2 linked regions of the Drosophila melanogaster genome follow. The protein of the gene in region 1 purifies or fractionates together with the protein of each later gene. This does not show direct contact. Each region holds a gene or a part of one and is shown in the gene's direction. Other genes may lie near its edges.

Evidence for each region.
Region 2: the proteins of mrj (region 1) and Hrb98DE purify together in Drosophila melanogaster (affinity purification with western blotting, with the first as the bait; one study listed by BioGRID). This does not show direct contact.

Annotation. Positions count from the first base shown.
Region 1 is NT_033778.4:16,214,568-16,229,045, reverse strand, and holds the start of mrj (mrj), read left to right. Parts: upstream 1-7,252; 5' UTR 7,253-7,376; exon of another isoform or gene 7,377-7,410; intron 7,411-7,896; 5' UTR 7,897-7,923; intron 7,924-8,922; exon of another isoform or gene 8,923-8,994; intron 8,995-9,336; exon of another isoform or gene 9,337-9,408; intron 9,409-9,600; exon of another isoform or gene 9,601-9,672; intron 9,673-14,478. Other genes in the region: Tsf3 (transferrin 3), read right to left, coding at 1-646, 716-1,018, 1,087-1,454, 2,310-2,403; CG15706 (uncharacterized protein), read left to right, coding at 3,879-3,939, 4,131-4,276, 4,337-5,749; CG7798 (uncharacterized protein), read left to right, coding at 6,419-6,865.
Region 2 is NT_033777.3:28,588,768-28,606,277, forward strand, and holds Hrb98DE (heterogeneous nuclear ribonucleoprotein at 98DE), read left to right. Parts: upstream 1-11,639; 5' UTR 11,640-11,750; coding exon 11,751-11,801; intron 11,802-11,938; coding exon 11,939-12,428; intron 12,429-12,761; exon of another isoform or gene 12,762-12,901; intron 12,902-12,930; exon of another isoform or gene 12,931-13,080; intron 13,081-13,109; exon of another isoform or gene 13,110-13,249; intron 13,250-13,379; exon of another isoform or gene 13,380-13,519; intron 13,520-13,572; exon of another isoform or gene 13,573-13,722; intron 13,723-13,788; exon of another isoform or gene 13,789-13,928; intron 13,929-14,004; coding exon 14,005-14,180; intron 14,181-14,244; coding exon 14,245-14,551; intron 14,552-14,603; exon of another isoform or gene 14,604-14,755; intron 14,756-14,840; coding exon 14,841-14,914; 3' UTR 14,915-14,931; intron 14,932-15,293; exon of another isoform or gene 15,294-16,328; intron 16,329-16,694; 3' UTR 16,695-17,010; downstream 17,011-17,510. Other genes in the region: Noa36, read right to left, coding at 9,415-9,870, 9,963-10,454; CG9986 (uncharacterized protein), read left to right, coding at 17,401-17,510. UniProt on the Drosophila melanogaster protein: This protein is a component of ribonucleosomes.

The DNA of each region.
Region 1 (14,478 bases):
GATCCCTAAAGCTCTCGAACTTGGCATCCTTGTGTACGAGTGCAATAGTCACATACCGATCATGCATATCCGCTGCGAACTCGTATAGCAATGGCACTAGATTGTAATCCCGCTGAGCTTTCACGCGCATTTCCTGATCCACCAACACCACATCTGTCTCCTTGAACTTGGTATTATCCAGGCACTGTTGCTCATCCATGGTGCGGACGCACTGAATGTTCGGTTGCACACCATAAACTTGAGAAGCCTCCTGCAGCCAGGAGCACTTGATGTGCTGGATGATGGACGTGGTGCAGAATACAATGGAACGCGGTGGATTGCATTCCGGGAAGCTGTAGGCGGACTGGAATGCGGTGGCCTGGTCCAGATAGTCATCAATAGCTATCACATTATCCAGTGGCACAGTGAAAACGTGATATGTCTCCAGCAGGCTAAGCAGCGCATTCTGCCAACTATCTGGCTCATCATGATTGAGTCCAGTGACGAGACGCTGCACTTGAGCGGCATGGCTGCGACGGGCAGCCACCACGGGCCACGGCTTGGCCACCCAGACACATGGTTGACTGGCGTTCAATGGCTGCAGATGACCATCCGGGCAGAGATAGCTGAAGTCCGAGGGATTCGACTGGGCCGGAATGCCAGAGAACTAAAAGAAATAGTCAAAGAAGGTTATTCACAAATATTTGTGCGCAAAGATTGTATGCCTCAAACTCACACCAAAATGACTGCGCACATCATCCAGACGAGCCCAGGCCACATTCCCGCCACCACTGGTCAGGCAATAGAGAGCTCCGCGGCGTCCCCAATGCTTGTCGGTCTGGTCACAGCTATCCGGTTCGTAGCACATCTCGCACAGCGAGGGATATCGGTTCTTTAGGATGCGATCCTGCTTGGGATCGGGCACCCAAGGACCAGCCTTGCAACTGGGACCAAAGTACTTGGCTGTGGATGCTATCCGATCCTCCGTGACGGTCATTTCGGGATCACAAGTCTTCGAGACCATGGCAGCTTCAAAGTACTGTAAAGAAGTCGTATATACAATCAAAATTGGAGTACTTTTATAAGATATCCATTGAGGTGACCTACATTAGCCAGGACCTCCGTCCAGTGATTGCCCAGACCGTAGCCAGGATGGCACAGCCTTGCACCTCGAAGATCATGAACAGTATGGATATTGGCGTGGTTGTCCACCACCGCCACAATTTCGTACTCAAAGTGCGACTCATGGGAGCGCAACTCGCTGGCCACCAGGATCTCAACGCTGGCCCAGCGTGCGGCCACCAGATCCTCCGAGGTGAGCACTCCAAAGTGGGCGGTGCCCTTGTGGATACGCCTCACGCAATCCAATCGATCCACGCCGATGACGCACTCGATGTTGCTCTTCGCCTCCAGCAGCGGACAGAACTTGGGGGTTTTCCGATAAACGCCACGCGATTCCACCACACAAACACGCACTGCGGAAGGAGGAGGAGAAGCAAGTAAATCTTTGCATAAAGTTTGGACATCTGCTTAGTATACGATCGGCGAAAAACCAGTCGCTAGCCGCCGCATTAATAATGATTTTGTTTATTTTGAAGTATCTTTCGCATGCAGTTTTTCGGAAAAGATATTATCTTTGAGCTGGGTATTTCACTTGTCTGTTTTAAATTAAAAATTCCCCTCAGGTAACGCAGTTGTCGGGGAAAACCTGATTAAGTGCGCTGCATTCGCAGAATTCGCTTAATGGTGCAAAACTGGGTACAAGTCAGTTCTGCCCGGACGCTTTTTGGGCAGTGGATCACGAGCTCCAAGGTCGGGACAGGTTTTGGAACGGCTGTCTCTAGCGGATTTTGATTACACCCGGTGGAGTGGCAAGGTCGTCTGCTCTCTCGCAGTGCATTTCGATTAAAAGATACATGATGATTGGTGGTTTTTGAAACGGTTTTTATGTGTAGGAATTGTAATAAAAAGTTTAGTTTTACTCTCGACCACTTTTTAGATTGACTAACATTGTTGCTTGAGAAGTTATCATATATATTTGAAATGTAAACAGCTGCTGTCGGCCTTTACAGCATCATATTTCATAGTTTAATGGCTTAAATGATTGGTAAACAAACATAACTTCAGCAGAATTTAGTTGCATGTTCAAAATTAACATATTAAGTGCAACTTTAGACTTGCTTATGATTAAGATACATCTTAATTACAATCACAAGCTCATGTATCACTTATCGCCAACAGTTCGTCTACTAATTTACGCAGTTTGCATGCTTTTTATTAATATATTTCCAGACACAAGGCAATACGCCCCTCATCTTTGATTGACTTACATTTTCCATCATCGGGCGGCTGCACAGCCACGCACATCGATATTGATAAGAACGAGGCAAACAGCCCCACCAAAATAAGTGTAAGCCACTGCATTCTGAGCTTCGATTGCGTCAACTGCTTGTTAATTGTCAATTCACTCACTGAAGATCGTCTAACAGTCGAGATTAGGTTAGTTAATCAATGACTAGTTGGCTTCAAGCCCGAACCGCTCGCATTGGAAGATCGACGGCAACTGAAGGCAGCCCTCTCCCAGATGCCAGCGAGTAAAACCTGATCCGAGCAATCCGTAAGCTCCGGCTGCAGAACGAGATCGCCAGTAAATAAATAATAAATGGAATACAAAGCAGCTACGCACAGCTGATGATGAGTCAGGCGGGGTTTTTTGGATAGCTCTCTGATTGATTAGTATCTTTTTGCGTGAGAATCTAAGCGGGGATCACCTATATAAAAAAAAAAACATTAATCCTATCTATACATTAAGCAGCTGTCCAGTCCAGCGCTTTATCAATTATGTTTGTATATACCAAACATATGATTAACGAACGCCTTATCGGCCAACTTGACTTATCAGTTTCCATGCGAACTGCATGCCTTTCGGCATTATTTGCTTGCCTCAGTCTCTGACCGCAGCTCTTGGCGTCCATATACTCAACTTGATCTCTGGGAAATCGTCACTTGTGGGTGGATTTTAATCGCGTGAACCTAATTGCTCGACAGATAATCAATATACTTAATTAACACTATATGCACTATACACGTTTCGTGCAATTTCATTGTATTCAAAGCATTTGCTCATCACAACTTAACGTAGTCAAGTGAAGCATTTCTATGGCTTCCCGGTTATAACTTGAGTTAGCATCATTCACGCACCTTGGGTTTTTTTTTTCTTCTCGTAACTCCCCTGTTATTTCTAGGGATTTCTAAATTGTGTTTGATTAATGATCAATCTACGAAAGTTATTTCGGCTTTGGCAAAAGAGCAATTTTTTTCTGTGTCAAGTTAACAAGTGATTTGGTACCGCAAACCGGTTTTTATCTACAAAGTATAAAAAAAATATCGCAAGTTATATGAAAATTACTAATTGAGTTGGTTGGTACAAGTGGGGGGGGGGGGGGAATCTTGGACATGCCTCAAGGGCATATTTATTATGGCAGGCCCTAAAATCTTTATCGCACATACGGTCTTAATTTTCCAACAAAATCTAACGACTTTGGTGCGAAAAGATAAGATTCGTTGTTCCGGAGTGTTATGCTCCCTCCCTTTGGCTATCTCAATAGAACTTTTATGCAGACGATTACAGACTGCTATATAGTCTGGACTAGCATCTTATCGCGATGTGATTAGATATAGTTTAGCATTCTCTGATTTACATCCATATCGCTGTGACTATTTAAACACTCTATCCACCAGACGACAGATTCCCTAAGAACGTCGAACGGCGAAGTCGAAGACGTGCGAAAAATTATGATCTTATCTGGGTAGGAACCACATCTCACCCGGCATAACCAGAGGATTGCATGGATATATCCGAACTGTGATACACTAGCCATAATTTTACAGACTGCACAATGGTGCGATTAAACAGGCGCCTGCTGCCCATCAAGGCACATTTCTTCTTTTTCATGGCGGGTGAGTGTAAAGTTATAACTTAACAATCCAAAATTAAAGCCGATTTCGCACTTCGTGAGATTCTTTCGTATCAAAATGTTCTTATCGCTGACATTATCGAATATATGATGTGAGAATCTGCTGCAATTATAGAAAGATTTCTTGGAAATTATTGTAGTTTATAAACTCATGTGCACATTGTCAACTTTTAGCCATGGGACCCATATTGCCACAATTGTCGGTGATCGGCAAGCAGATCGGTGTTCCACCGGATGTTATGGGCTATATTACGGCCGCCTTGCCCCTACTTTATGTTTTAGCCAAACCCTTGGTGGGTTTCCTAGCCGATTATTTCACGGTGAGCTTGATATGCCTAGTAACTATTAATATAAATACTAAACTATAATCTTTGTTGCAGAGCCTGCGCAAGTTCATCTTCATCTCCCTTATCCTCATCATGACACTGGCCTTCGCCGGCTTCTATTTCCTGCCCGACAACTCACATTTCATTCCATTGGACGAGGGAAGTGCCCAATGGAATGTAACGTTATTGACGAATCCAAACGATTGCAATACCATTATCCAATCCTCCAACGCATTTTGTCAAACCACTCATCAGGCAAAATGCATTCAGGAAGAAAAGGAAGTAGGCGAATTCTCCGCTCTAATTGTTGCCAACGAGTCGGGCCTCAATCTCAACCAGAATCTGCTTCATGGCAACGAGAGTTATCACATCTGTCTCACGCAACCAGCAGCCATCGATTGGAACAGTGCATCCTGCGAGGTGCGACACGTAAATAGCTGCATCTATGGTGCTGGCAAGTTCTGGCTGTTCGTATGCCTGCTCTGCATTGGAATCGTTGGCTTCAACGTGACAAACTCCATATCCGATGCCTGTTGCTTTGACCTTCTGGGCGATGAGGAGCAGGAAAAGTACGGAGCACAACGAGTGTGGGGCACCATTGGTTTTGGAGCCACTGCCATGCTAGCCGGAATCGTAGTGAACTGGTGGACCACGGATGCGGTCAAAAGTCTGACGCCTGCCTTGATCATCATGTGCGTGTTCAGTTTGCTCGATCTGTTCAGTGTGTCCAAGCTGAAGCTGCCGAAACTGGGTGGTTCCGAGTCCATCTGGAGCGATGTTTGGCAATTGGTGCGCAAGCCACCCATTCTGGTCTTTCTGTTCTTCGCCACAATGGCTGGCATCATTGACTCCTTCATCATATACTTTATGTTCTGGCACTTGGAGCAGGTGGCCGAGGCCACTGGTTACATGCATCAGATCAAGTTGATCGAAGGTCTAGTGGTGGCCGCCGAGTGTCTGGCCGGCGAGGTGCCCTTTTTCTTCTACAGCGGAAAGATTATCAAAAAACTGGGCTATGTTCATTGCATGAGCATGTGCTTTTTCTTCTACGCTGTGCGACTGTCGCTGATCGCCTGGATTCCCAATCCCTGGTATCTGGTGGGCGTGGAGCTCTTTTTCCAGGGCATTACCTATGCTCTGTGCTATACGTGCATTGTGGCCTACGCCTCGGCGGTGGCTCCTCCGGGAACATCGGCCACCGTTCAAGGATTGATGGCCGGCATGGACGATGGACTTGGCTTCTCCATCGGATCCCTAATCGGCGGACTTATGTTCAAAAGCCTGGGCGGACGAGAGAGCTTCAAATACTTTGCCATAGCCGCCATTTGCACATGCGTAGCACACATCGTTATACGTCCCACATCCAGGAAGAGGCAATTCCTGCCGAGACAGGGATATGTGCCGCCAACGGAACAGGAGATCAAGCAGCCGCCCGCTCAGGAAATGGAGGAGATTCGTTTGGGATAAACATAGTATCAACACATGCCATTTTTATTGCATATTTTTGTACTAATTTTTTACGTTAAACAAAAACAAAGAAAGAACGACAAGTTGTCCAAAAGTTGAATGACTTTGCTCTCTCGGGGTTTTTGTTCGATTGTTGGCGCACACGCGATCTCAAGTGCTCCGGCCCCTCCAGCTGTCAACATGGTTATATAATACCTGAGCATCGCACAAAAGAACCCATTGAAAGTGAATCTGGGGCCAGGCAGATGCCTCGCTTAAATGGCGAGCGATTCCCACTCCATATATTAACGAAACTGGCCCGATCGGCCTGTTTCAATGATCGAGAATTGAAAGTCTGACACTCATCTGCATGTTTGGGATTTAAGTTAAGTTAGAGAATTGTAGTTTTAGTTCTACACCCTAAAATAACCATATATCTACTGATTTCTCAGAGCAATAGCCTTTCCGAAATAGCTCCAACAAAATAAAAGAATTGGAGATGGTTATGACTTCCAATCTTTGTCGCCTAGTGTTGATAATTTATGCTCGAGTGTGGGCCACACTTCAGAGCTGTCCAAATGAGTGCTTGTAAAAATTAGATTGGGCCAAGTTGTGCTCCGAATCTCGCAGCAAACTGGATGGCTATATAAGCCACGAGTTACCATTAGAAGCCTGCATTGTTTCTGGAAGATGTGGCCCATTTGGCTGCTGGTGCTCTTAACGCTATCACTGGCCACTGGCCGCCAGGTGGGCAGATGCAGTTTGGCCCGGCAGCTGTATCGATACGGAATGGCTTACAACGAGCTACCCGATTGGCTGTGCCTCGTGGAGGGCGAGAGCTCGTTCAACACAAAAGCCATCAATCCCTCGAACGTTGATGGATCCGTGGACTGGGGTCTCTTCCAGATCAACGATCGTTACTGGTGCAAGCCGGCGGATGGTCGTCCATCCAACGATCTGTGTCGCTTGCCCTGCCGCCTGCTGTTGAGCGACGATATCCGGTATTCCATTGCCTGTGCGAAGTACATCAGGAAACAGCAAGGATTCTCCGCCTGGGTGGCTTGGAACAATCGATGTCAGGGTGTCAAGCCCAATGTGAATCACTGCTTCCGGCGGCGACACAGAAATTCGGGTTGAGCATCGGTAAAAAGCTAAAAAAAATACGAAACTTAAGAACCTAAATGCAGAATAAAATATTATAATATTAAAGAGCAATATATTTTATGAGTATGAGCATTAAAAGAGCGAACAATTGTGGTGCGATATATCATCTGGTAAACAAGAATAGAAAAAACTGGTCTATACCTTTTTACCTTCAATTTATATTCAAAACTAACCGCCAAGCTAATAAAATTAAATATAATGTAAAATGTAAGTCAACATGTAGAAAACATGTCCAAAGGGATGTAGCTAAACACGTTATCTTACCGATGACATTTTTGAATTTCGGCTCGGAACCAGTTCGATTGGCAGAGCTAGTTGCTCCCCTCCCTGGGTCAAATCGATAGCCAGGCGACTGATAGTTGTCGCTGCGTTTTATCGCTTAAGTAAAACAGCTGTGGGAAAAGCGCGCTTGGCCAAAAGCAAAGTGGCGGTTGAATAATTTGTTTCTCGACCAACGAGCGCACGGATGCGTGCAGACTGACGGGTAATAAAGTGCAGTTAAATACTAAATTCAAAGTACTAAATACTGCTAAAGAAAACCAAAAATAGCGAAGCAGTAGATAAAAATACAAAAAGTGAAGTTGACATTGAAGTCGCTTCGTATGTGTGTGTGTGTGAGTGCTTAAAACTTGTGCTGGTGTGCGAAATTCTTTTGTGCTCCGTTTTGTTGTGCATTAAATAATCTCGATATAAGCTGAAAACCGAGTTTCAAATGCAAACGGCACGCTTCGTGTTCGAATAGTTGTTTTGTAAAAAATCAATAAAGCGCCGTAATTGTCGCCGTTCTGTAGTTGTTGTTGCTGCTGCTTGCTGCGACAGGAGTTTCCGCCAACAACTCGCGTCGTTCTCGCTCTCACCAACAGCTCTCTCTCTCTCTCTTTCCCCACGCGGCGTTGCTTATCTTATTTGCTCACACTTATTTCTTGTTTTACTATATCTCATGTTGGATTCGCATTTGTTAGATACTTCTAATGAAATTAATTGTTCGCTTGTTTTTCGGTTAGGCACCAAAGGAAAGAGATCATTTCCAGGTAAGCAACCAAAGCAAAAGAATAAGCGTAATACCAAATAATAAACAATCTAAGCACCGAGCGCAAACAGAGAAATGCGGAATTTAACAAGTTCAATAATCGAAAGTGCCTCTATTGTGCTCTCTGTTACACGCACGCACGCGGACGTATGCTAATTACAACGGTTCATTGCTCTGCTCATCGAGATTTTGACATATTGTTGCTGTCCCCCTTTGACATGTGGCGGCGTGTTTCCTCAAAAGATACTGCAGCTGCCTCTGCGATACCGTTAAACCCGTTTCTGACTCAAAATGCCAATTGTTTTTCGTTAACGCTTACTTTAATTTGCCTTTTTTGGCCAACTCGCAATTTGCCTGTCCCGCAGCTCTCTCAAATTTGTTGCAATTAAAAATTGATTTTCCGTTTGCCAAGTCAGCTTGTAAATAACAACAATAACAGCCAAAAATTGGTTACTGCAACAATGAAAAAGCAATTTTCCGTATCTACTACAAAAAAAAGAAACTAAAAAAAACGTTCAAAACTCAGTCAAGGCATTGTGCCCGTTTTATTGTTGCTGCTATTCGCTTGCCACACGTTTTGCGGCAGGCTATTGTCGTTGTTGCTGTTGCTTCCAGTACATGTTGCAATTCTGGGCATGCCTAATTTTCGGTTTAACAAAAGTTAAGTACTCTGGCTCTTTGAGCTTTTGCCCGTCGTTAACAAAACCGTTTTCCCTCCTTTTTCTTTTCTCTTATTTCTTTCTACATAAGCACAAACATCAACAATTGACAACTTGGGGCAACGAAAAGCAACGGCCATAAAAAAGTCTCGAATTATTTCGTAGCGTGTCCGATTGGCATCAATTGGTGGCGCTAGGCAATTGCAAAGAAATAAAGCACACTAGAAAAGCAAAAACAAACATAAATACATACAATTACCGAAAGCAATAGACTTGAAGACTGCTCAATATATGTGGAAAATCAATTATCAATTATTTTAAGCAGTAAAAAAAAAGTACTCTTCCCATACCGGGAATCGAACCCGGGCCTTCTGGGTGAAAGCCAGATATCCTAGCCACTAGACCATATGGGAGGCTATCTGTGTTGTAGCAAAGACTCGTTTTGTTCGCCAACATGAATGAATGCCTTGTGTTTATTTGTTTATTTTGCTTAACCCAGGAAAAACTATTAATACAAGAAAATTAAGATATGGAATGAAAACATATACAGAGGTGGTCAAAAGTATTTGAACAACGAGCTTTTTTTTTCAATTGTCAACTAATAACCATTGTCAACTAATTGAAAAAAAAAGCTCGTTGTGGAAATACTTTTGACCACCTCTGTATAATGGTCAGTCAACCCCTTTAACAAAGCCCAAAATTATTAACCCTCTGATGGTAACAAATAAAAAAAAAGCGAAATTAGGCAAAAAAGTTTCCCATACCGGGAATCGAACCCGGGCCTTCCGGGTGAGAGCCGGATATCCTAACCACTAGACAATATGGGACTTGTCTGGAAGGTGACTAAAGTGTGTCCTTAGTCTGCCTCTTAGGACATGTTTTAAAGTCACCACTGTATATTTTCTATTTATAAATTTAAAAATGAACAAGGCATAAAATTCCTTATAAAGTACGTGCACCATTTTTAACAAGGAAAAACTACAAAAACGTTTATATAACTTGGAAGAAAGTAGAACATATCCCATATGGTCTAGTGGCTAGGATATCTGGCTTTCACCCAGAAGGCCCGGGTTCGATTCCCGGTATGGGAAGTATTTTTATTTTATTTATAAGTAAATCAATTACCCTGCTTGAGAATCCCCATCAATCAAGCTCTTCCAGCCATTTCTCTCCCATAGCATCGCACAAAGGCATAAACTGGCTTGGACTTGAAAATCAGACAACAACTCCACTTATTGACCTGCACTTAGAGGCGGTGTAACACGAATCGTGGTTCAAGTGGTGTTTTAATGAGTCTCAGCTGGGTATGATCCGGCTCAACGAACTTCCTCGCTCCCTGCCAACCACTTCCATCATAAGCTGCAGCTGCAACTCAATTTTCCAAGCCCCGACACTCGATGGAAAAAAAACGGCTAATTCATCAAAAGTGTGGCAAAGCCGAGAGCCAAAAAACAGTGAGCCATTGTTGTTGCCCATCACGCCCACTTTTCGCTGGGGCTCGATCCATTTGATGCATGCTGGCAGTCGCTTGCCACTTTCCAAGTCAATTGAAAAACTCGTGTAGCTTTTTATATGCCATCATCTTGAACGAGCTTATGTATCGTATCCAGACATTAGAAGCGCGTGTGAGACATACGATTGAGCAAGAAGCGGAGAAAAAGGCAAAGCGTACAAATTGCCATTTTTTATAGTTTCTAAGTGAGTTTGTATATTTTTTCCCTCAAAGAAAGCCAAGCCCCGACAATCGATGGCAGCGCATGAGAGAAGCAACAAAAAAGACGGTAACTTTTTCGTTTCTGTTGAACGTTCAAGCAACGCCAACGCCGCCTGAGCTTTGTTTTTATTGTTAAACCAGTTGATCAGTTGAGCGACAGCAAGAACGAAAGACGCCAGCTGCTGCTGGCTATATGGTATGGGTATATGGGTATACATCTCCGACTTACCAGCTACGCTGGCTGCATATTAAGCGGCCCCTGCTGCGCGCCTGCGCGTCCAACGACCGCATTGTTGTGAGTTGTCTAAGCTCTGTTTGTTTTGTTTTCAATCCGCATCAGCCAGCCGGACTAGCAGGTAGGAACCAAGTTGTCTCCACTCGGGCTCGATCGTTCAGATGTGCAGGAGGAGTCAACTTAATTGAATTGTTGGGTCAGCCTCGACCGTTTCCGTTCCGCTTCCAGAGGACTTGATTGCTTAACACTATGAAAAAAGAATTTTTAATGACAATATGTGGCCTAACGAAAGAAGTTCAGTATAATGATTGTATTAATATCTTATTCACTTTGTTTTTAATCGCTTACACTATATTTGCTTTAGTTCCATTGTCTTCGCTAGGGTGAGAGTCACAACCTAGTAATGTTAATTGGTAGAAAATGAGAAGGCGACACGACTGATAAAAAAGAAAACTCCAATGAACTCAGTAATGGGGTTTTAGACTTTTAAGTGTGCTTTGTCGTCTATCGCCACCATAAAGGCAATTAACATGCAAACTTTGCCAAACAATCAATCAGCTAAAGGAGCCTCACGCACTCCCCATTTCTTTGTTCAAGTCTCGACTATTTCGTGAGTTGCAGCTGGAAAGAAAAACGTGTAAATTTCGTTTGACAGTTGACAGTAGGAGAAGAAAAAGCTAAAAACAGGCAATGCTCTTTTGGGGAGATGGTCAATGCTCTCGACAGTCCGAAATCGCAGTCGTAGTTTCACTTCACCCATTTAGCATGACAATCAGGCGGCCATAGGATGGGACACTAATACGCGGGGTCATGCATGCATGGTCTGCAGTTGGAATCGACGTACACACCTCTTTTGCTTTGTGTGCTGCAAAAAAAAAAAAAAAATGGCAGGGTTGGGTAAAAAGACAGAAACTCGAACCGTTTTCACTCTTAATTTTCAGTTTAGTGAAAATCCGCTTGGGACACGCCCCAGACTTTGTATCTCCGCCCCAAATAAAAATGAAAAGAAGGGCCCGCAAAGGCCATTGACACACATTTTGGCACGGCTTTGCGTGCTGGTGAGTCCAAGTCCAAGACCGAGGCCAAGATACTGTGGGTTTCTGATCACACCACGACATATGTTGCTATATCTTTCTGAAATTCGGGTGCCGAATATAAAGAAAGTGTTCGAAAAACGATACGATGCCGAAGACGCATGACCAATAAATAAATTGAAATATTTACGCTTCGAAGGAAAGAAAGAATCGCTGCGAAGTCTGTCTGGGAAGACGAACTGGTTTCGGGGGGAAGGCTTAGTTCCAAGTCTGGGTCCCTATAATCGCTTCGTTTGCCTCGGTGAGCCGCAGGCTCCACTACAGATCCACAGCTGCAGCTGTGACCCACTCCCAGTTGTCCATTTAAAGCGGCCAGACGACGCGACGCGGCCTGTAACGTATCTGCGCACATTTATCGCCATCGCAAGCTGGTCAGCCAGCTAGCCAGGCCAGCACTTTTTAGGCATTTTGCGGCAGTGGTTCGCGGGTCTAATGCCAAAAATCAGAAATAAAAATTTCACCTCCGGTCACACGCTTGAGAAGACACACTCGACAGCAACAGTAACGCAAACTGGCGGAATGAAAAGCGCCAAAAGGTATTGTGAAAATTGCAGGCTGGTTAATTAAACAAACTGCGCCCATGGCACATGAAATTGAGTGGAGCACAGTGAAAATGGGAACGGATGAAATAAAGCAGTCGAATTGTTATTAAAAGATCTAGTCTAGAGAAATATGGGCTTAACCAATCAAGCACAGTTAAATTTTATTAAAATATCAACTAAGTTAAAAAAGTACTTAAAGTTTGTTATAACAAGCCGCTTTCTTCAAATCTAAAATCTATTAAAGCGCACACACCTTTAAGCAATTATTGTACATAAATGAGATCGACTGGAAATTAGACAATAAGCCAGAGAGGAAATGAATTTAAAACAATGAGAAATTTTCAGCCTCTCTAAAACTCGAATGAAGCGTAGGCTTTTCTTAAGTGAAAAGCAGGCATTCAAGTCGATTCCACCATATAGCAAATAATGCATTACCTTTTTGGGCTTAATTTGATGTGGTGCCGTCGATTATTTTTAGCTTTTAGCTAATCCAACAGCAATTCAAGCCGCTCCATTTACTTGGCTGCGCATTTTGCGGCTGATGAGTTTTCATTAATTACCAAAACCGGGTATTTGGCCATTGAGGCGATTTTGTTTTTTCTTTTCGTCGTTCAAGTCGTTGTGGCTTCTTTTCATCGAGCCCATGAAGATAAATGAATGAATCTCCGGATGCACTTGAAGCGCACATAAAAATTGTTGCCTGTCAGCGTCATTGAAACTGTGGATTGGATCCACCTAACCGCCACCGGTGGTTGGCCAGTGGAAATCGTCTCTTGTAAACTTCAGTTCGTTTAGCTTACTAACTGTGCCTGGTAAATCAATCATTGCGTCTGCTTAGCTTCAGTTTCGGTCTCATCTTCGTCTCTGGCTATTTAAATTAACCGGTTCGCCTTGTTTGCGGTCCGCCTAATGAGCGGCACTTGTTGTCCGCTCAAGAGTTTTTGGAGAGATTGCATCCACTAAGCCGCAGACATGGACTCGCGGTCAGATACAGCCATCACCATAATCATATCCCGTGTCCAACTTCATGTTACCGAGGTAGTAATGCTTTCTCTACGGGGATTGTTTGTGTGGGAAAGCCTAGGGCCTATCGAATGATGAGCGTTATCGCTTACACGTGTCTCGGAACGCACAAAGTTTAATTTATTAATTGGGTTAAGCTCATAAAGAGGCCTACTCTTCATAAGCAGCGGGAGTGAGGAACTAGATCGATCAAATTGAAAGATGAGAAAAGATATTTTAAGCGAGAATAATATTATTAGAGATTTTAATCAAGTTTAAGGAGTGGAGCTCGTAGTTTCAAGTACCTCAAATCATTAGCTAAACACGTTAAATAGTTAACAATAATATTGGCTTAGGTTCCTGAAGATTCGCAACGAACAGCTTTTAGTTTTTGGTACCAACTGCTTAACAACTGAAAATGATGTCATTAAAAGACTTTGTGTATAGAGCTCGATTCTTCCCTTGAAATTCTAAAGAATCTGGCATTGCAACCTGATGATTACGGCAATCGTATTTCCAGTGGACTTGGCTCATTAGCAGCCTTGCTTTCCGATCGAATTCATTTGCAGCTATCCACTAAATTTAACCTTAGCACGATATCGCTGTACTTCGTATTTATAGAGAGTTAAATGCTGGCGCGTGTTACGCATCCCATAGATACATATGTGTACTGATACATGAATTGGATTCGATTCGATTCGATTTCCGAGTGAAGCCAAGACGAAGAGCGAAGGTTTTCAATGAGGCGCGGCAATTTGACCAAGACTGAGAGTTGCCATTGCTCAATGTATCTACATATCTGTAGCTCTATCTCTAGCTGTATCTATTTCCATTAATTAGAGGCAAGCGATGATGCGTCAGTCGGGTATCTTTTGTTTGAAACGGGCTTTGAGGCAATAAGCAAACTGGCAGGAGATATTATAATAATTTATATGATTTCGCGTTTTGTTCTTTTGGCCGCTTCTTCGCATTTCGCATTGCTTATTTAATTTGCCAACTCAACTTTTTCGCTCCGATTTCGCGTGTCATAACTGAGATGCTTTTTACCCCTGAGTCACGTTCAATGTCGTGGTGCTAGCCGTGCTTCTTCATTGCAAATTGGCCAGCACAAAAGAAAAGAAAGAAACAGTCAAAGTGGCTAAAAAGCATTTTGCACCATCACTTAACGTTGCAGCTTCCACTTAAAGTGGCAGTATGGACGCCTATCAACATTGTGGATTAAATAAAATTACCTTTCAGTGCGACAAGCAATTACTTCTCAATTACAAATTTACTATCTTGGCTTGGCGCTCTCCTCCTTACTTTTTATG
Region 2 (17,510 bases), on another chromosome or scaffold:
GAGCGGGACGCTGCATTAATTAGAACACTGCGGATATGTGCATGTATGTATGGGTTTCAGGATCGAAATTACTTTCTTCGGGGCCATAAAGCGGCTCTTATCTAAATTAGGATGTTGCTTGTTTGCGGCTGTGTCTGCACAACATCGCCGTTTTCACTATTTGCGTAGGTGTTTCATTTCCGTTTCACAATTTATCTGGCGAGTGTGTTTGCCGGCACACTCAGCCGAGTAGCGCACCTTTAGCCGCCTCAAGATTTTCCTCTTTCCCTACTTTCACATGTGATTTTCCCTCGCGGCCTTATCAGTTTTTGGCGCGTCAGCCGTCGTCATCGTGATTCACATTTTTTCCTCCCTGGCCGCCGCTGTTTGCACTCGAAACAGTGACAGTAACCGAAAAATGCACTTTTAAAAGGGCCCCCGTACTCGGGGTTCGAATCGGACGATGCAGTTTGAGAATCGAGGGAATTTGGCGCATTTGGGGTGCGTGCCTTATCGCTGGGGAGCCCATGGGGCTACGACTCTAGATATCGCATAAATCAGAGCCTAGTCGCGCTTTTGCTTGATTATTTCCATTTTATCTATTTGGCTGCGGGTGGCTATAAAGTTTCTGGTTTTTATCTTTGTGCAAACACGGGAAAGCAGTGATATTAAGGCCCTGGCGACCTTATTTCCACCGGCCACCAAGAAAACAGCGAATTCTATTCTTTTAATTAGGAATCCGCAGAAGAGGTGGAACCCCTCAAAGGCAACCCAAACAGAGGAATTTCATTTTAATTTGTAGGGTAAATAGAAAATAGACGCCATCTTTTAAATTATGTAAGAATTTTTTCAAAACCAAAATAGAAGTTAATAAGTGCCACTGTTTGACTTTAATTAATTATTACTTATAATTATTTATTTCTGAACTCCAGTAATCTTATGCAAATATTTAATATAAGAATACATTGTAGTTAAAATAGGTACCACTTTGGCCGATTGTTCCTAATTTGTTTATCCTAATTTCACAGCAAATTTTTTAACCCATGTTTATCCGATCTTAAGTAATTTTCCAAACAAATTATATTTTGGCTCGAATCGCTCCAATCGATATAGTTGATTAGAACCCCGAGAGCCGGTTTTCTCCCACCAAACCAGTTTATGCAACCCCAAACTTTAGCTGGGATTTCGAGAGTGACCACCACCATATTGATCATGCGAAAGAATGTTTTGTTCAGCTCCCGTCCGAAGATACAGATTTCTTCTATCCACTCCTCTCAAAATACCCATGCAACTTAGCACCAGGCTGCTAATTACATATTCGTTGCCTGAAAAATTAACTTTCCAGCGGCGAACATTGTAGCATGCCAGTGGCGACAACGAGACTGCTGCCAGTTTTATAAAGTCCCCGCTGTGTTTTTTATCTACCTATCTGACTATCCGACTATCTAACTATCTAACAATATGTTATGAACTGAGCCTGGGCCCAGAAGCCGCCCATTTCAATGACGAGCGTTGCGTTGCGGCAGCCGAAAAGCTGTCAAATTGTCGAAAAAATTATTGTTATCTTGCTGCGCGTTATTGAGTGGCCGTGTTCACACGCAGCTCCAGCTCAAGATACAGATACAGCTACAAAGATACATTTGTATCTACACATGTCCGTACAAACAATTCAATTAATTGTTGTAGAGCGGAATATGTCACATCGGAGGGATATGGATGGCTAGCTTTGGACTGGGCATATAGTTTTTTTTTTCGGGGGGGCTGTAAGCCCAAACTCTTCGGTAGTTTATTGATTTACAAGCTGGGGCCCCCGTATCGCAGATAGATGCAGGTTTATGGGTGGCGTCCACTTGGGGCTCCAGTAGTACAACCATAACCATAGCTATCACTACAGCTGGAACTGGAACTGGAACCGACTTATCGCAGTGGCGTTGTGATTTTTTGAGTGTCGAAACGCCAAAGCAAATATGATTGGAGTTTTATTTACTCTGGCCCGTCCGATTGGGTCTTAATTACTTCCGAAAACAATGACAACCGATGACCAGTGGCGATACGAGCCCCGTCGCCGAGCATTAATCAATTTACAACGAGATTTAAGCAATGACATCGGTAAATAATAAAATAAATACAATTTGAATACCGGTTTGCCATTTTCTGGCTATCATTCATAAACTTTTGTGCGGCCTGACATGAAAATTAGCTCTTCAGCCAAGGCAGACAGCGCAGCGATCTCCGAGATCTCGTAGATCGGAGATCGCAGATCGGAGTCGTCTAAAGCTGGAACTCCGATCGCTGAAGAGCTCCAGACTCCGGAGTTCGAGTTGGCGATGGAGATGGAGACCTGAAGAGCATGGCTGTTGATCACGGTGATGACTGCGTAAAAACGAAAAGTAAAAACACCAAACTGGCACACAGCTTCGGATGCTTGAGATGTGTTGCCCGTTTGTGTTAATCCCATCAAGACCCAGCACATTATGAAGTAGCAACACCAGCAACAATAGCACCAGCACTACCACAAACATGGAAACAGCACAAACTGGAGCTGCACTGAAAGAAATATAGTTCATTAGAACCACTTAATACTAATACTAAATGTATCTATATTTGAACCATTACCTTACGCCGAAGTAGGATAGCTGCAAATGTATTATGAAAATATAAGAAATAAATAAAAGAACCGAATTTTGAAAAGTTAAATGCATTTTAAAAATTATTTAAATTCAAGGTCATAAATATGTCACATATGTAGACCACACCAGATAGACCCCAATTCTTTTCCGTGTGGAACCCGAAGCTGCGACTGGAGTCCCAAGTTGGAGCTGGAGTTGGAGTTGGAGCTGCATGTGGTGAGTGCTCATGTGCTCCACTGGAGGCTCCATCTCTACATCAACGGCACAAGTGACATAAGTGGCGCTTACCCGATGATGCGTGCGCATCCAACGAGCAGCCAAAAGTCAGTCCAGAGCTCCGCAGCTTGTCTTCATCGTTTTGTAAGAGTCATCTCATCATTTTGCTTGTCGCCATCTGGTTGCGACTTGGTCCGGCTGATAAGAACGTGTTAGGTGTACCATGGAGTTGTTAAATGCAGCACCGCTGCGTCGTGTGTGGTCCATCGATGGCGCTTGATAAGAGAATTTTGGATGCATTCGATCCATGGGTCGTACCGACATACCACGGCATGCGAGCGAGGGCTCTCCCGGTTTTTAGTTTTGGTTTTGGTTTTGGCCCGGTCTACCCATGACGTGACGGGCGGCTGACGTGCCAAGTGCCATCGAAAATGGCAAGTCATTGGCATTTCAACTGGACATGCGGCACCCTTGTTAGCCCGAGCTGTCTCTGACTCTTTGGTTCCAACTCTCTGACTGGGACTCTGCAGGGCATACATATGCTCATATCTGGCAGTGACTGAACATCCTTCGACGCATAACGGGCAGCACAGGATAAAAATCCAACCCCCTGCCCTCCGCCGGATGACGCAGCAATCGGCGAAAGCGTTAATTTAATAATGGCCAAATTTGTGACTGAATGTCGGTTACTATAATTTGGTGCAATATGGGAAATGTGTGGCACCTTTCCGGCACGGGAGGTGTGTTTGTTTTCCCAGTCGCTGCTGCCCATAATTGTTACACTCGGCTGCACCAAAGTCAAAGCTACAAAGTCAATGACATCCAGAGCAAACAGCGCAGAAGTGCCCGGCAAAACTGAAAGTCTTAATCAATCGATAAGTGAAAGGAGGGAAAACTCACGGGAAAACACAAGAAACTAAACCTAAAATCTTTGAATATTAATAGTAACTGAATTAAATAATTCCTTAACAAAGATGTATGTGATATGCAAATATGAAGATGCCTCAAAACGAAAAATAGAAAAGTATATAACGAAAATTTCCCTTTCGCTAAAAATCAAGTGGCACTAAAACACAAAGCCTTTTATGGCCGGCCACAATAATTTGCTGGACAAACAAAGATCCGCCACTTCATAAATAGTTTGCACTTGACAGCTACTGCAGCAGAAGCCGTTGATTTGATTCCTGCCCCGATCCCCAAGTACCCAAACCCCGATCCCCAATATTCCCGAACTGAAGTTGTGGTGTGAAGTTCTTGTGATTCACTCGGTCGGTGCGAAATCAAAGAGATCTCCGCCAGGCGGCGGCCAAAAGCATCATAAAAAGTTGGTACCTTGTGTCCACCAGCAGAGTTCATTGATTTTCTGTTTGGGCGGGCAACTCAACTCAATCAAAAATCCAAAACGAAGCTGAAGAAGAAAACAGGAATCTGGAAACATAAAACCAAACGAAGAACTTGGGAAAACGCGCACGGCGGTGGCACTCTATTAGCACCTCTAAAGCACAATTTACAACAAACATTTACAACTGTCAATTGGCAACAAAGCCGGCCAGCGAAGGGTGCATATGATGGCCAAAGAGGAGATCGGCCAGAAATTAAGGATTACAGGTCACCCGATGCGGCCACAAAGGCACCGCCGGTTTTAGGATTACGATGAGATGGTTTTTCGGGAACTGGCCGCTGACGAATTGCCGGCAATTAGTTAGCATTAAACAACAACTAATGGCATCAACGTGCATCAAGAACCTTTCAATAACACACATATCAGTATGAATGCACACAGGGCACACAATCGTATCTGTCACAGGGCATACATACATACATATAGTACGGTTTAAGAAACGAAATTAATAAAAATTTCACTTGAATTGACAAAGTGCCCGAACGCCGTGACGTTCAACTGACGACAAGTGCCACTTGACAAGCTGCCGAACTTGAAATTTTTTTTCATTTCAATATTTCATTGTTACCCCCGGCAAATACACGGCATATACCCAACATATAGAAGTCTGACTCTTGGTCTGGCTTGATTCGCTCGATGTGTTACCTGTCCGCCAGCCTCGTCCCACAGCTGGCGATTAATCTTGACATTGAGTTGCTTTTGCTGTTGCAGAGACAGATGCAAAGACAATGGCCCACTGGCATATATAAATGCGATTTTCTCGACCAGACACTGTTGACAATAAATAATTTAGCCATCTATAATGGCCCGTTGATGAGTGCTGTTTGGCCAGCGAGGAGGAGGAGACGCTCCCACACTTTTTCCACCGGCGATTGCATGCAAGATTGCGATCATAATCATGGGAGTTCACGTGCAGAGCACGCGGCCGCTGGAGGAAGGACAAGTGGCAAGACTCGAAATCCAGGACATGTAATGGGATGGATGTGCGAGCAAATAGATTCCCAGGCCGTTTGAACTGGTGCTTCACGACAAGTGCGGGTCATCATAATCATCGGCATCATCATCGACATTATTACAATCGACCGCAACTACTTTAATTACACTGTTAGCCGCAGGCCAAACTACACTGGTCAACAAACTCAGGGTGGAAAATCTGAAAGGTGTTATGTAGTAAGTTGGGGTTGGTATTCAGCTTTTTATAATATGTCAATGTACATTTTACTTATTCTGATTTATGATGAGCATAATAAGGGAAATATGTTATAAAACTGCAAAATGATATGATGGGTAATATATGGATCTATTTTTGGAAATATGGATAAAATATTGATATCATTCAGTAGCTTAGTACTTAGTACTTCGCTACTACTATAATTATGGTGAAAGTTAAGAGTATATACTGCTCACTCAAATGAGCAAAAACCTAAGCCATGTATTTCCTTGCAGTCCAGTGTAAGCTGAGGTTAATAACTGTAGCACGCCATGGGCGTGAAAGGTGGGCGTACCCGCTTACCAATTGTAATGCAAAGCGCGCGCGCGTGTGTGGGTGAGTGGAATGGAGTGGAGTAAGGGGATGTGGGGTTCGAACCAGGACCCTCGGGCGTATTGCAAAATTCAGCTTCGCTCGATGGCAGAGCGGAGCGTCTCGCCGCTCAAGTGCGGCTCAATAGCCCGCCGGGCTATTGACAGAAATCAAAACGGTCCAGAATGGGCGGACTCAGTGGGCTAAATGGCAAGCGCTGGCGAGATTTTTTGCTTCCTGCGACGGCCCCTTTTTTTGCAGGCATTTGAGAAGACGGCTTATCGTGGCATCAAAACAAATTCGTTTGAAATTAATTCGGAGATTTGCTTTCATTAGGCCGCTTGCCGGGTGCAAAGTATGTAGCTGCGTTGGCAAACACACAATGGCAAAAGGAGAAACCACCGACACGGCGTGCGGCTAATCCCTAAGCCAAACTTTTGGCTGGTGGAAGGTCGTTTCAGGTCCAAGTTTCGCCGCCCTCCATCCCCCGCCAACACGTGACCCTCAATTGTTACATGCCGTAAACCAACACCCACCCACCCAGGCCATTCGATTGTGTTCCGGAATCGCTTTTCTGGCTGCGTCATCACTTTGAATTTCTGGCGAAGAGCCGTGCATATTGCTCCTAATGCGACAGTTTAATTGCAGGTGAGGCGCATCGGGTCGCGTGCCCAGGGAAGCGCCGCTGATGCAATTAGACAGCCAACGACTTTCCCATTGTCCTGCCGTGACTTCTCCATTGAATCGCCTGTGTGCGGGCGGGCCTCCTGGTGTCGCTTTCCCGGCACAGTAGCTTCTGCCTTCGCCCAGTCCTGCTGTGCGGGTGCAGTGTGGCACACCTGGACGAAACTCTTGTCCGACTCGATGGCGATGGCTTTCTAACAGCTTTCGGTAAGGATGCTGTTGTCTGTGGACGTGTGCTGATTCGAATTAAGTCCTTATCAGGATTTATAAAGAATTTTTATTTGGATATTAATAATACCACTCATAAGCATAGTAATCAATATAATTTACTAACATAGCTTGCTTATAAATCAGTCGAAGACACTTTTCTCTGGGGAAGGCAAGGGTCAATTAACCCATCGTTATTTTGAGAACTTATTCTCAGGGACTCGCCCACAGGACGAAGTAGATCAAAGGCGTACCCCTGCGCCGAAAAGCGCAGACCAGGAACTTGGGTTCTCATTCCATCTGGCCAGAACTGGCCAGAAACTCGAACGCGGACCGAACAACAAAAAAAAGAGAAAAAACTTTCTCACATTACATCACGGACCAGTGAGGACGGCTAAAACAACAAGGACGAGCAACTGAAGCGCTCTAAATGGACACCGAACAACATCGTTTAATATTGATGGCCATTGTTTGAGCGCTTTATGATGGGAAAGTGAGCCCATCTCCGTGCCACTGCCTACGCTTTTCCACCGGACCACGTTGTGTTGGTGTTGCCGGTTCAAGTGAATATTTAATTAAATTGTTTTCTAATAACCACGCGCTACTTTGCTGGACGCAAAACACGCGTCCGCAAGCGGCGAGCGGCGGCAGGACACGCGGCATTCGGACCGATACCGGGACACACCTTGTTGTGCCAACAACATTAGCAGGGGCCTAAATAAAAAAAAGTACGATGAAAACGAGAGCCACCCCTTTTTCGCTGCGTATCCTGGTTCTAATTTTCCAAATTACGCACCATCAATCATCGCCAGCTTTGACGAACGTCGATGGCGAAGTGGATGTGGATATGGTAGATGTTGATGATGACGTTAGATACCACCCCCACCGAATCCAAACTACCTAGACCATCCCAACCAATCCAATCCCATGGCGCAATCACTTGAAGCGAGCAACGCTGCGGCAGCCGCAAGATGAAATTAAATTAAACTTCAAGTGGCCGCAAGGACCTGCTGAATCCTAAAATCCTAGAGTCCTTAACCCGTAACCATGGGAAGCTGTGCCGCTCCGGCTGTTTTCCATCGTAATTAACGCTAATTGCGTTTGGCCATAAGCCGCACTTTTTGACTTCTCCACGTGTTCCTCGGATTGTCCACAGGATTTTCCCACCTTAATCCTTGGCCATGGCTGTGTTTTTGTTATGGATTGACTTTGGCCGACAAAAATATTGGCATTGCATAAATAAGCAGTAGATAATGCTGATCGGAAGTGATTACAGTTTGCGTTTGGCATTTCTTGGGAATCCTGATCCCAGCGAGATTTTAAACCCGAGACCCATCCATCTGGTAATTGAGAATGCACTCCGGCTAATGAAGGCGGTCATCGTGATGGGAAGTGACCAAATTGGCTGGACAGAGTGGTCTCAAGGATTAATATCGCAGTGCAATTAAGAACTCAATCACTGTGACTCGACTCGGGTCTTGTTTGCCTCTCTCTGATTACATTTATGAAATTATTATTGATGTTTGGCACTGACCACCACAGCCCACAGTCCATAAATGGCACACCCCCTCCATCTAGCCCCCATAAGCCACCCCGTTTCTAATTTTGTTGAGTAGCCCTAACTCCAATGGCTTGGACATCGCCTCGGCCGGAATAGACAGGCCATTTTGATTGAAATGCAGACACAAATGCTGGCAGGCGGCCATTAAGCTGCTCCGATCTATACATAAGTATGGTCGTGTAAGTAACCACAGCAGGGGGTATCTTAGCAAGGCTAATTACACATTATACCAAGGATATGGTAGGTATCAATCCATCTTTAAAGTTCGTAGGGAAAAATATAAGTGAAGAGAAATCTTGCTTTAAATGTTTAATATTAGCTACTATAGAGACCGGATTATGTTTTAAATCAAAGGACTATTGTTCCCACCGCGACTGTATGTGCATCCCATATCCTCTCACACTAATCTGTATTATGTACACAGTTGATTTGCCTGCCACTCATGCCACCCAGTCCCCGACCCCATGCGTCCACATCCTCGCCCAGGACTCGCCTACATAAGTAACGCCACATATGATTTCATTCATATGCAGAAGAACTATGCTCCTCCCTTATATCAGGCCGCTCATTGATTTGCAATGCCTAAAATGTTTCAGACTGATGATGGGTCGAACCCTGCCCACATCCCGTGCCCCACATGGCCCAGCAACCATCGCCCATCTACCCATTGCTGTTGCTGTTCCGCTCTGCCTAACTGACAAACATTCCCAAATGCCGAAGTGCGTGTCTTTCGCTTGGTGTGTGTGGTGTGTTTGCCATCGTTTTTGGAAATATTATATGCTCATACCTCCGTTTTCGAGTAAATTGTGTAAATATTTGCGCTCGTAAGTGGATTGGAGATGGATGAGTCTATCAGCAGAGAAGTTGGCGCTGGCAGAGCCGTTGGCATCGCCATCATCATATGCGTACGGGTTGGCCCTGCTGCTCCTCCCTGCCCAGGGCCATTATTTCCAATCCGCACCCGCAGTTCCCCAGTTATCCTCCCTTGTGGAATTTGGATTCGCATTCGCTTGCGCATTTACCTTTCGACTTTCGCCCACAGTCCACTTGCAGCTTGTTGCATTTTATAAAATGGCTACTTGGAAACTCTACAATTTGACAAAGAATTTATTTCCCTATTACATCGAGAGAAACGACTGCACAGCCGAGAATTCATTCGCACACTTAGAGGGACTAACAAAAGGCCATTTACGAGTATATAAACAATTCAGCCTTATTTGGTGGCCTTTTTGTCGGTTTCCTTCTCCGGTTCACTTTCTGTGGTCTCGTCCTCTTCCTCATCATCATCATCGTCTTCATCGCTTTCATCATCGTAGTCTCCATCGGACTCATCTTCATCGTCATCACCCCCGTAGGAGTAGCCCCCACTGGCGGCGCCACCATAATAGCCACTGCCACCGGCTCCATAGTATCCACCGTATCCCTCCTCGTCGTCGCTGTTGCCTCCTTGTTGCTGTCGCCCGAATTTGTGCGACCGCGTGGACATGCTGAGGTCCTTGGTCACCGAGGTATCGTAGTTGCACTTGGGGCATGGAATTGGCTTGTTCTTGTCGTACTTGAAGCCCTTGCGACGCACGTGATCCTCGCAGTAACAGGTCTTGCAGCGCAGGCAGGAGTATTGACCCAGCTTGTTGCACGATTGACACTTGTAGTTCTCCGACTCCAGCACCTGGAACCGAATGGATTGCATTACCAAAAGGCGTCATATGAATCTCAAAATGAAGTTCGGAACAAGCTTAATGAGTATTTTTGGTTACCCACCTGACAGCTGGCCTGGTGCTCGAACTGATCGTCCTCGCACAGGAATCCGTTGCAGAAGGAGCACTTGAAGATGCGCCCACCGTGCTCCCAGACACCGCGTTCGCACTCCAGGCAGGTCGCATTCTGCAGCGGACACGTGCAGGCGTGGTTTTGGAGACACTTGCGTCCGTGGCAAACCCAAGCCTCGCAGAAGTCGCAGATGGCGCCCACCATTCCGAGGCCCGTGGTGTAGACGCCCGGATGTTTGACCACGCAGTCGCCGGTCTTTAGCATGCACTTGATTTTCCCGCACTGGGCGCAAATGGGTAATCTCTGAATGCTCTGGCAGAAATAGCAGAAGGCTCTCGACTTCTGCTTCTTCTCGCACTTGTCGCACTCCATTGGTGCATTGCAGGGCAAATCCGCAAGAGGCACCTCTCTGCTGCGGATCTCCTTGAGGCGAAGCTTCTGCTTCTCGGCCTTCTTACGCTGCCCAGTCTTCTTTTTCGGCATTTTTGAAATCAAGGAATTAGAAAACTTATTTCCTTACGTGTGCGGCAGTGTGGCTGCTGCGGGTGCGCCGAAAAATACCACAAAAAGCTTTCGAATATTCCGCTAAATATGTAGCTACATCTTGAAAATAGCTACAAAAAATGCGTTAAATTAGCATCGTGGAGTTAGCGGCGACGGCGGAGCCGAGTAATTTAACACATCATTTTTCTGGCCAGCGTGCATTTTGGAATATGCTCTGCGAGTGGAGATATTCCTTGAAAAGTAGCTAGCCGATTTTTTTATTGCATATTTTATATACTTTCTGAGTCCTATAAACTTTAGTCGTACATAGATAGTTAGATCTCTTAAATAGTTCGATTTATTAAGATTTTTGCATTTGTATTTTTTTTGGAATTTACCTATAAATAGCGAAAAATTAAATAAATAAATAAGATTCTCATTTTCCATATTTCACCGTTCTGCCATAGACGCTAATTTGACCCACATAGATTTTCAGTGGAAACAAGTGGAAGCAACAACCGATTAGTGTAACCAAATACCTTTGCTTTTATTTAGGTCTAGTATTTTTGTAAGGTCTGTCTACGGCTTTCCTTTCCACAGGAAAATATATTTTCAGTTTTAGGGAAGGGGTGCTACAGTGAGCGTCTTTCGTTCCCAGTGTCGTTATTTCTATAGTATTGCTGAGATATATATCAGAGCAGTAAAGATATTTAAATATAAGTTCTTCGAAATGGGTGGTCACGACAACTGGAACAATGGTCAAAATGAGGAGCAAGATGTAAGTAGCACACAAAACCGCGACTGCACAGGGAAAAAACTCAGTTCGGCCATAATCCCAATATATATATATTTTGGTGATCAACGCGCTTTTACCCATGCGGCAACTAAAGTTGATGTGCTAAAGCATTTCGTTGCGGTTTTGTTACTTAAGACTAAGACTAACAGTAGTTGTATCTTAATAGTGCTAGGGAGTACGATGCTGTCGGTATTGGTTTCTCTTTTAGCTTTTTAGTGCAAAAGGCGTGATCAAGAATACACATGTTACACACATTTTTTAAGGCATGGTGAAAAGAAACAGGGCAGATATTGTAAAAGTATTGTATTGACAAGGGTGTCTGTCAACTTATCGTTATCGTTCTAGGTAGTATCGAATAGGTGCTGGGTTTAATCGGGTTGTAGAAACGGTCACACTGTATTCAGTTTTTTCATTCGTCTCGTGTGTCAGGGGACTTTCTCCATTTGCAATAGCAAAAAAAATAGTTAGATTAGAAGTTGTTCAACTTTTGCATTAGTAAAATGGTGAACTCGAACCAGAACCAGAACGGCAACTCCAATGGCCATGATGATGTAAGTAGTGGATATTAAGGGTCTAGAAATTTCCTGTAAGCTGGTGTCTCGCCTTGCCGGTCGCCATTTTGAAAATTACGCATGTGTCTCAAGGGCGGAAAGTGAGGTTATGGCCATTGATAAAATCAATAATTTAGGACTTTCCTCAGGACTCCATCACCGAGCCGGAGCATATGCGCAAGCTGTTCATCGGTGGCTTGGACTACCGTACCACCGACGAGAACCTAAAGGCTCACTTCGAGAAATGGGGCAACATCGTGGACGTGGTGGTCATGAAGGATCCGCGCACAAAGCGTTCCCGCGGATTCGGATTCATCACCTATTCCCACTCGAGCATGATTGATGAGGCCCAAAAGTCGCGTCCCCACAAGATCGACGGTCGAGTGGTGGAGCCCAAGCGCGCCGTTCCCCGTCAGGACATTGATTCCCCGAATGCCGGAGCCACCGTAAAGAAACTCTTTGTTGGCGCCCTCAAGGACGACCATGATGAGCAGAGCATCCGCGACTACTTCCAGCACTTTGGCAACATCGTCGACATCAACATAGTCATTGACAAGGAGACTGGCAAGAAACGCGGATTCGCCTTCGTCGAGTTCGACGACTACGATCCCGTGGACAAAGTTGTGTGTAAGTACAACGCTTTTCCTAATCTAGACAATATCAAATATCCTTTAAGAATGATTTATCTCTTCGAGAGTAGACTGTTAGGAAAATCACATTGCCATGTTCTTAGATTTATACAATACAGATTGAATTATCTGCACAGGAAACGAATATTAACCCCATTTGTGTACGCGGCGTTCGTGTAGAAAAAAAGTATGACATGCAACCACCCCTAATCTATATGCTCAATCAGCTCTGGCACATTGTAGGGCTTCTCGTAAATGTCCATCAGCGTCGGATAAACGAATGCGCACTATAAGCAAGAAATTTCGATAAAATTGCAATTATTACAATATATCCACAGTCCCAGCTCCGCATAGCAATGTTCGATGTGCTTGTGCGGCGTTTGTGACTGTAAGAATAAATTCCAGCCAGTATTATATCATTGTTGTTGGTGCTCTTCGTGCATCAACGATGAAAGAGTATATGGCACACTATAGCTTGAATCTAAAACTGTTTCCTAATATCACAGTACTGACAAATTAACTGGTTTGAAACCATCACCAGGGTAGTTTTTTTTTAAACGCTGTGAGATGAATTAAAGCGTCGGCTAAGCTATGTTATGCGAATGTAAGCATTGCGCCTATTCAGTGTAACACGCAGCCTCGTTACAATAGTTCAATTAATTGCTATTATGGAAATCGATACACAGTCCCAGCTCCGCATAGCAATGTTCGATGTGCTCATGCGGCGTTTGTGACTGTAAGATAAAAGACCCAGCCCATATTATATCGTGTTGTTGGCGCTGTTCGTGCATCAACGATGAAAGAGTATAAGGCACAATATCACATTGAATTACCAACTATATGAAAAGAATGAGTATCTAAATGCCTTCGCTTACTTGAATATACTGACAAATCCACAGAATGGTGAATGTTATTTAGCGTGAATATATCTCCTAAAATTAGCTACGATTCCACAGTCCCAGCTCCGCACAGCAATGTTCGATGTGCTCGTGCGGCGTTTGTGACTGTTAGAATAAATTCCAGCCAGTATTATATCATTGTTGTTGGTGCTCTTCGTGCATCAACGATGAAAGAGTATAAGGCACACCTTGATTATCGAACCGATTAAACAGAAAGTTTCTAGATCAGCCCCTTCGTGGACGTCACAGTACTGACAAATTGACGGGCTTGAAAAAGTCGCCTGTATGGTTTTTATTTAAACGCTGTGAGATTAATTTAAGCGTCGGCTAAGCTATGTGATGCGAATGTATATTATAAATCAATTCTGTGTAACACGCAGCCTCGTTACAACTGCAAATCAAATGCACCGAAATGGTGAATGTGTACTATCCGATATCGATCCTAATTTTAGCTAAAATTCCACAGTCCCAGCTCCGCATAGCAATGTTCGATGTGCTCGTGCGGCGTTTGTGACTGTAAGATGAAATCCCAGCCAGTATTATATTGTTGTTGTTGGTGGTGTTTGTGCACCAATGATGAAAGAGTATATGGCACACTATCCTCCGGATGCACCACATAGGGAAGTTCATTTTCGAATACCACTAATAGCATGCTTTCCCTCTTTATTTTTGCAGTGCAAAAGCAGCATCAGCTGAATGGCAAAATGGTGGACGTAAAGAAGGCCTTGCCCAAGCAGAATGACCAACAGGGAGGTGGCGGAGGACGCGGTGGTCCGGGTGGTCGTGCCGGTGGAAACCGCGGAAACATGGGCGGTGGAAACTACGGCAACCAGAATGGTGGCGGCAACTGGGTAAGAACTTATTGATCGCCATCAATTCGATTTGAGGCTTATTACTGGTTAATTGGCATTGCAGAACAACGGTGGCAACAACTGGGGCAACAACCGCGGGGGTAACGACAACTGGGGCAACAACAGCTTCGGTGGTGGCGGCGGCGGCGGTGGTGGTTATGGCGGTGGCAACAACAGCTGGGGCAATAACAATCCGTGGGACAATGGCAATGGAGGCGGCAACTTTGGAGGCGGCGGCAACAATTGGAACAATGGTGGCAATGATTTTGGAGGCTACCAGCAGAACTATGGCGGCGGTCCGCAGCGAGGTGGCGGCAACTTCAACAACAATCGCATGCAGCCCTACCAAGGAGGTGGTGGATTCAAAGCAGGTGAGCAACAGCACGTCTGTTGATGCATTACTGATAACAACTAGATAGCAAGACACAGTACCCTGACACCTAACTGTTAGAGCGTCGATAGAGTTTGGCAGTTAGCTTATTAAACGCTGTGAGATCAACTGACGATGGCCTTCGCTATGTTATGCGTATGTAAGATAATCCCAGTACGACGTAACACGCAGCCACGTTACAGTTTTTTCATGAACAGTCACCACCAGTATAGAAACTAGACTAGAAAGACGATTGGATATGTTCCTAACGATCCTGGGTTTTCTTTTAGGCGGTGGCAATCAAGGCAACTATGGCGGAAACAATCAGGGCTTCAATAACGGTGGCAACAACCGCAGATATTGAGAGAGATTCCGGACGAGGTGAGACATCCAAATAACCACTACTAACACAAAAATATACATAGTCCAAGGCGAATTCAGGCCATAACTAACCGCTTATCTATCCCGTATGACCATTAATCTTTCGCTTGATTTGACAAACATATGTTGTGTGTTTTTTTTTTTTTATAATAGCGCCCTTATCGGCATTTTTGGTAGTTTATAAAGCATATTGAGACTAAAAAGCAAAACGGCTGAGACAGTCCGACCCACCTTACTCAACAAACTTATATACGTATTTACACTTTTAAGTATTTAGAGAACAAAAACCCATCAACCAATTAAGAACTCCTTTTCATACCAATTGTTTTAAATAACGTTTCTCATTTATCGACATTTTATAGGTGATAAAGTAAAAGTCGCTCAGTATAATCCCAAAATTCAAAGTCAAGTAAACGATACGCAATTCAATGATCAATATGATGAAGTATGAACGCACGTTCATAGTCCTAAGAAGTTTTCCGAGCACCACAAACCAAACATTACAGATTGATTGATCAGGATCAGTGCAGTGCAGTGAAGTCGTAAGAAGTTTGGTTCAGTCTTGGATTAGAACAGAAAGAGAGATCAGTACCAAGCAAGACCAGACCAATACAGAGTGCAGTGCAGTGCAGAGCAGTGTGTGAGCTAAACAGAAGAAACACAGCAAGTGGCAGTACACGTACACAGAAGGTGACCAGGATTCCATTCAATTTGTCTTTGCAAGCGATGATAAATTGAATGTCAAGAGGCGCATCGAAAACTATCCAATACCCACAGAATTGTAATCTATAATTTGCAACCCATATGTAGCAGCCCATATAAGTAACATTGTAATTAGATCCACAAAGCCGACGACAGGCCAAACATTTGTATCTCCACCACACGAGCAACCAACCAACCAACCTACTTAAAACAACCAGTCATAAACGAATCAGCTATGTAAAACTTCAAGGCGGCAGCCGAGAGATATGTTTCTTTGGTTGCAGACAGCTCTCCAGTCCATCGGCTGCCGGCAACTTTTGATAATCAGAGCAGAAAACACAAAATATATAAAAACATGTATTACATTTTACAACTTTACTAGGCTAAGTTCTCATAGAATTAAATCGAGTAGAGCGTGCGGAGCGACTTCTGCATCCATCCGCACGCTACCCTAGTCTTAATAATTTTACTATTCAAGTTCTAAGCGAACCTGACCGTGTGTGGAGGAATCTAGATACTTAGATTTTTGAATAAGTGTCGACATGGATATAACCTCTTCCGCTGCTTAGATGTAACCGATCAACAAACAACCTTTATTGTAATTTATACCTTTTAGCAAGCAGTCTGTCTGAGGAGTCAGCGCAATTATACTTAACAAAATTTACATTTTAATGTAGCTAAAAAATACAAGATGCAAAAAAAAAAAATAAGCAAGTGTCCCGCAATTGATGTAAACTCTGACGAAAGAACAAAAAGTATATAGCTAAGCCAAAGCCTCGTAGTTTTCTATATTTCTGTAGCAGCATCAGCAAAAGGATCTCGATCAGAATGAGAGTGTATTGCAGAGGTAACAAGGTGCAGCAAGTCTGACCAGGTCCAAAAGCCAGCCAAGAATATGTACTTTACTATAGCATTTGTTGTGGGCGGGCCATTAACGTCGTTCGAGAGTTCTCCTTTCACTCGCTTAACAGGAATCATTTTCCCCTTTTATTTGATTTGCCCCCCGCCTGCTGTACCATGTCATTTACAACCATGTATATTATTGTAATTTCTGTTGCCAGTTGGCTGCGAAAAGTATGCGAAGCGCTGAAAGACTGCCGCCGCGCTACTGAATGCAGCCACGGAAGGTGCCCGCGTTTGCTAGCAACTCCGGTCGCTGGGTTTCGGTTCCCTCTGGGTAAGTAATCCTCCGCAGATCCCAAATCCGGAAAAAGTTGTAACTTTCAGGTGGTCTGAATCGGCTCGTCGCACCTGAGGATGGAATGGATGTTGAACGGTTTCCCCTCTGCACCATCGTAAATATACGACTTTTATTTATTACTTCATTTTATTTTCATTATTACTATCTTTGAATAAAGAAATTTCAGAATACCAAACAAAATGATTTTCGTTTCATTTTGAATTAAAATTTCACCAGTGGGGGAAAATAACGGTATTTGAACAATAATGGCGTTGCGAATGTAACGTGATTGGCGTAAAATCGCAAATTCCGTTTTATATAGTTGAATGATTTTCAAAGCATTCATTTTGTTGCATTTAATGTTAAATTTTAATTAGTCCACTGAAAATAATAAATCATGATAAATGAGCACTGTGTCTGTCACTTTGTTGTTGGTTTGAGTCTTCTCTAAGTGGTGAATAAGTTTTCTGCGATATATTTAAGCGGTCGCAATACGGTCATACTAATTGCATTTCTTTTAGGCAGGGGGCGTTAACTTGCGAATTAATGACTATAACTAACTAAAACACCGACTAAGGACCTCTGAAATGGACTCTACTGCCACTCGCACGCTGCCCTTTGTGTACAAGTATAAAAATCATAAAGGCCAAGACTGCGAATCCCGGCTGGACATCACTTTTCCCTTTGACCAGGAAAA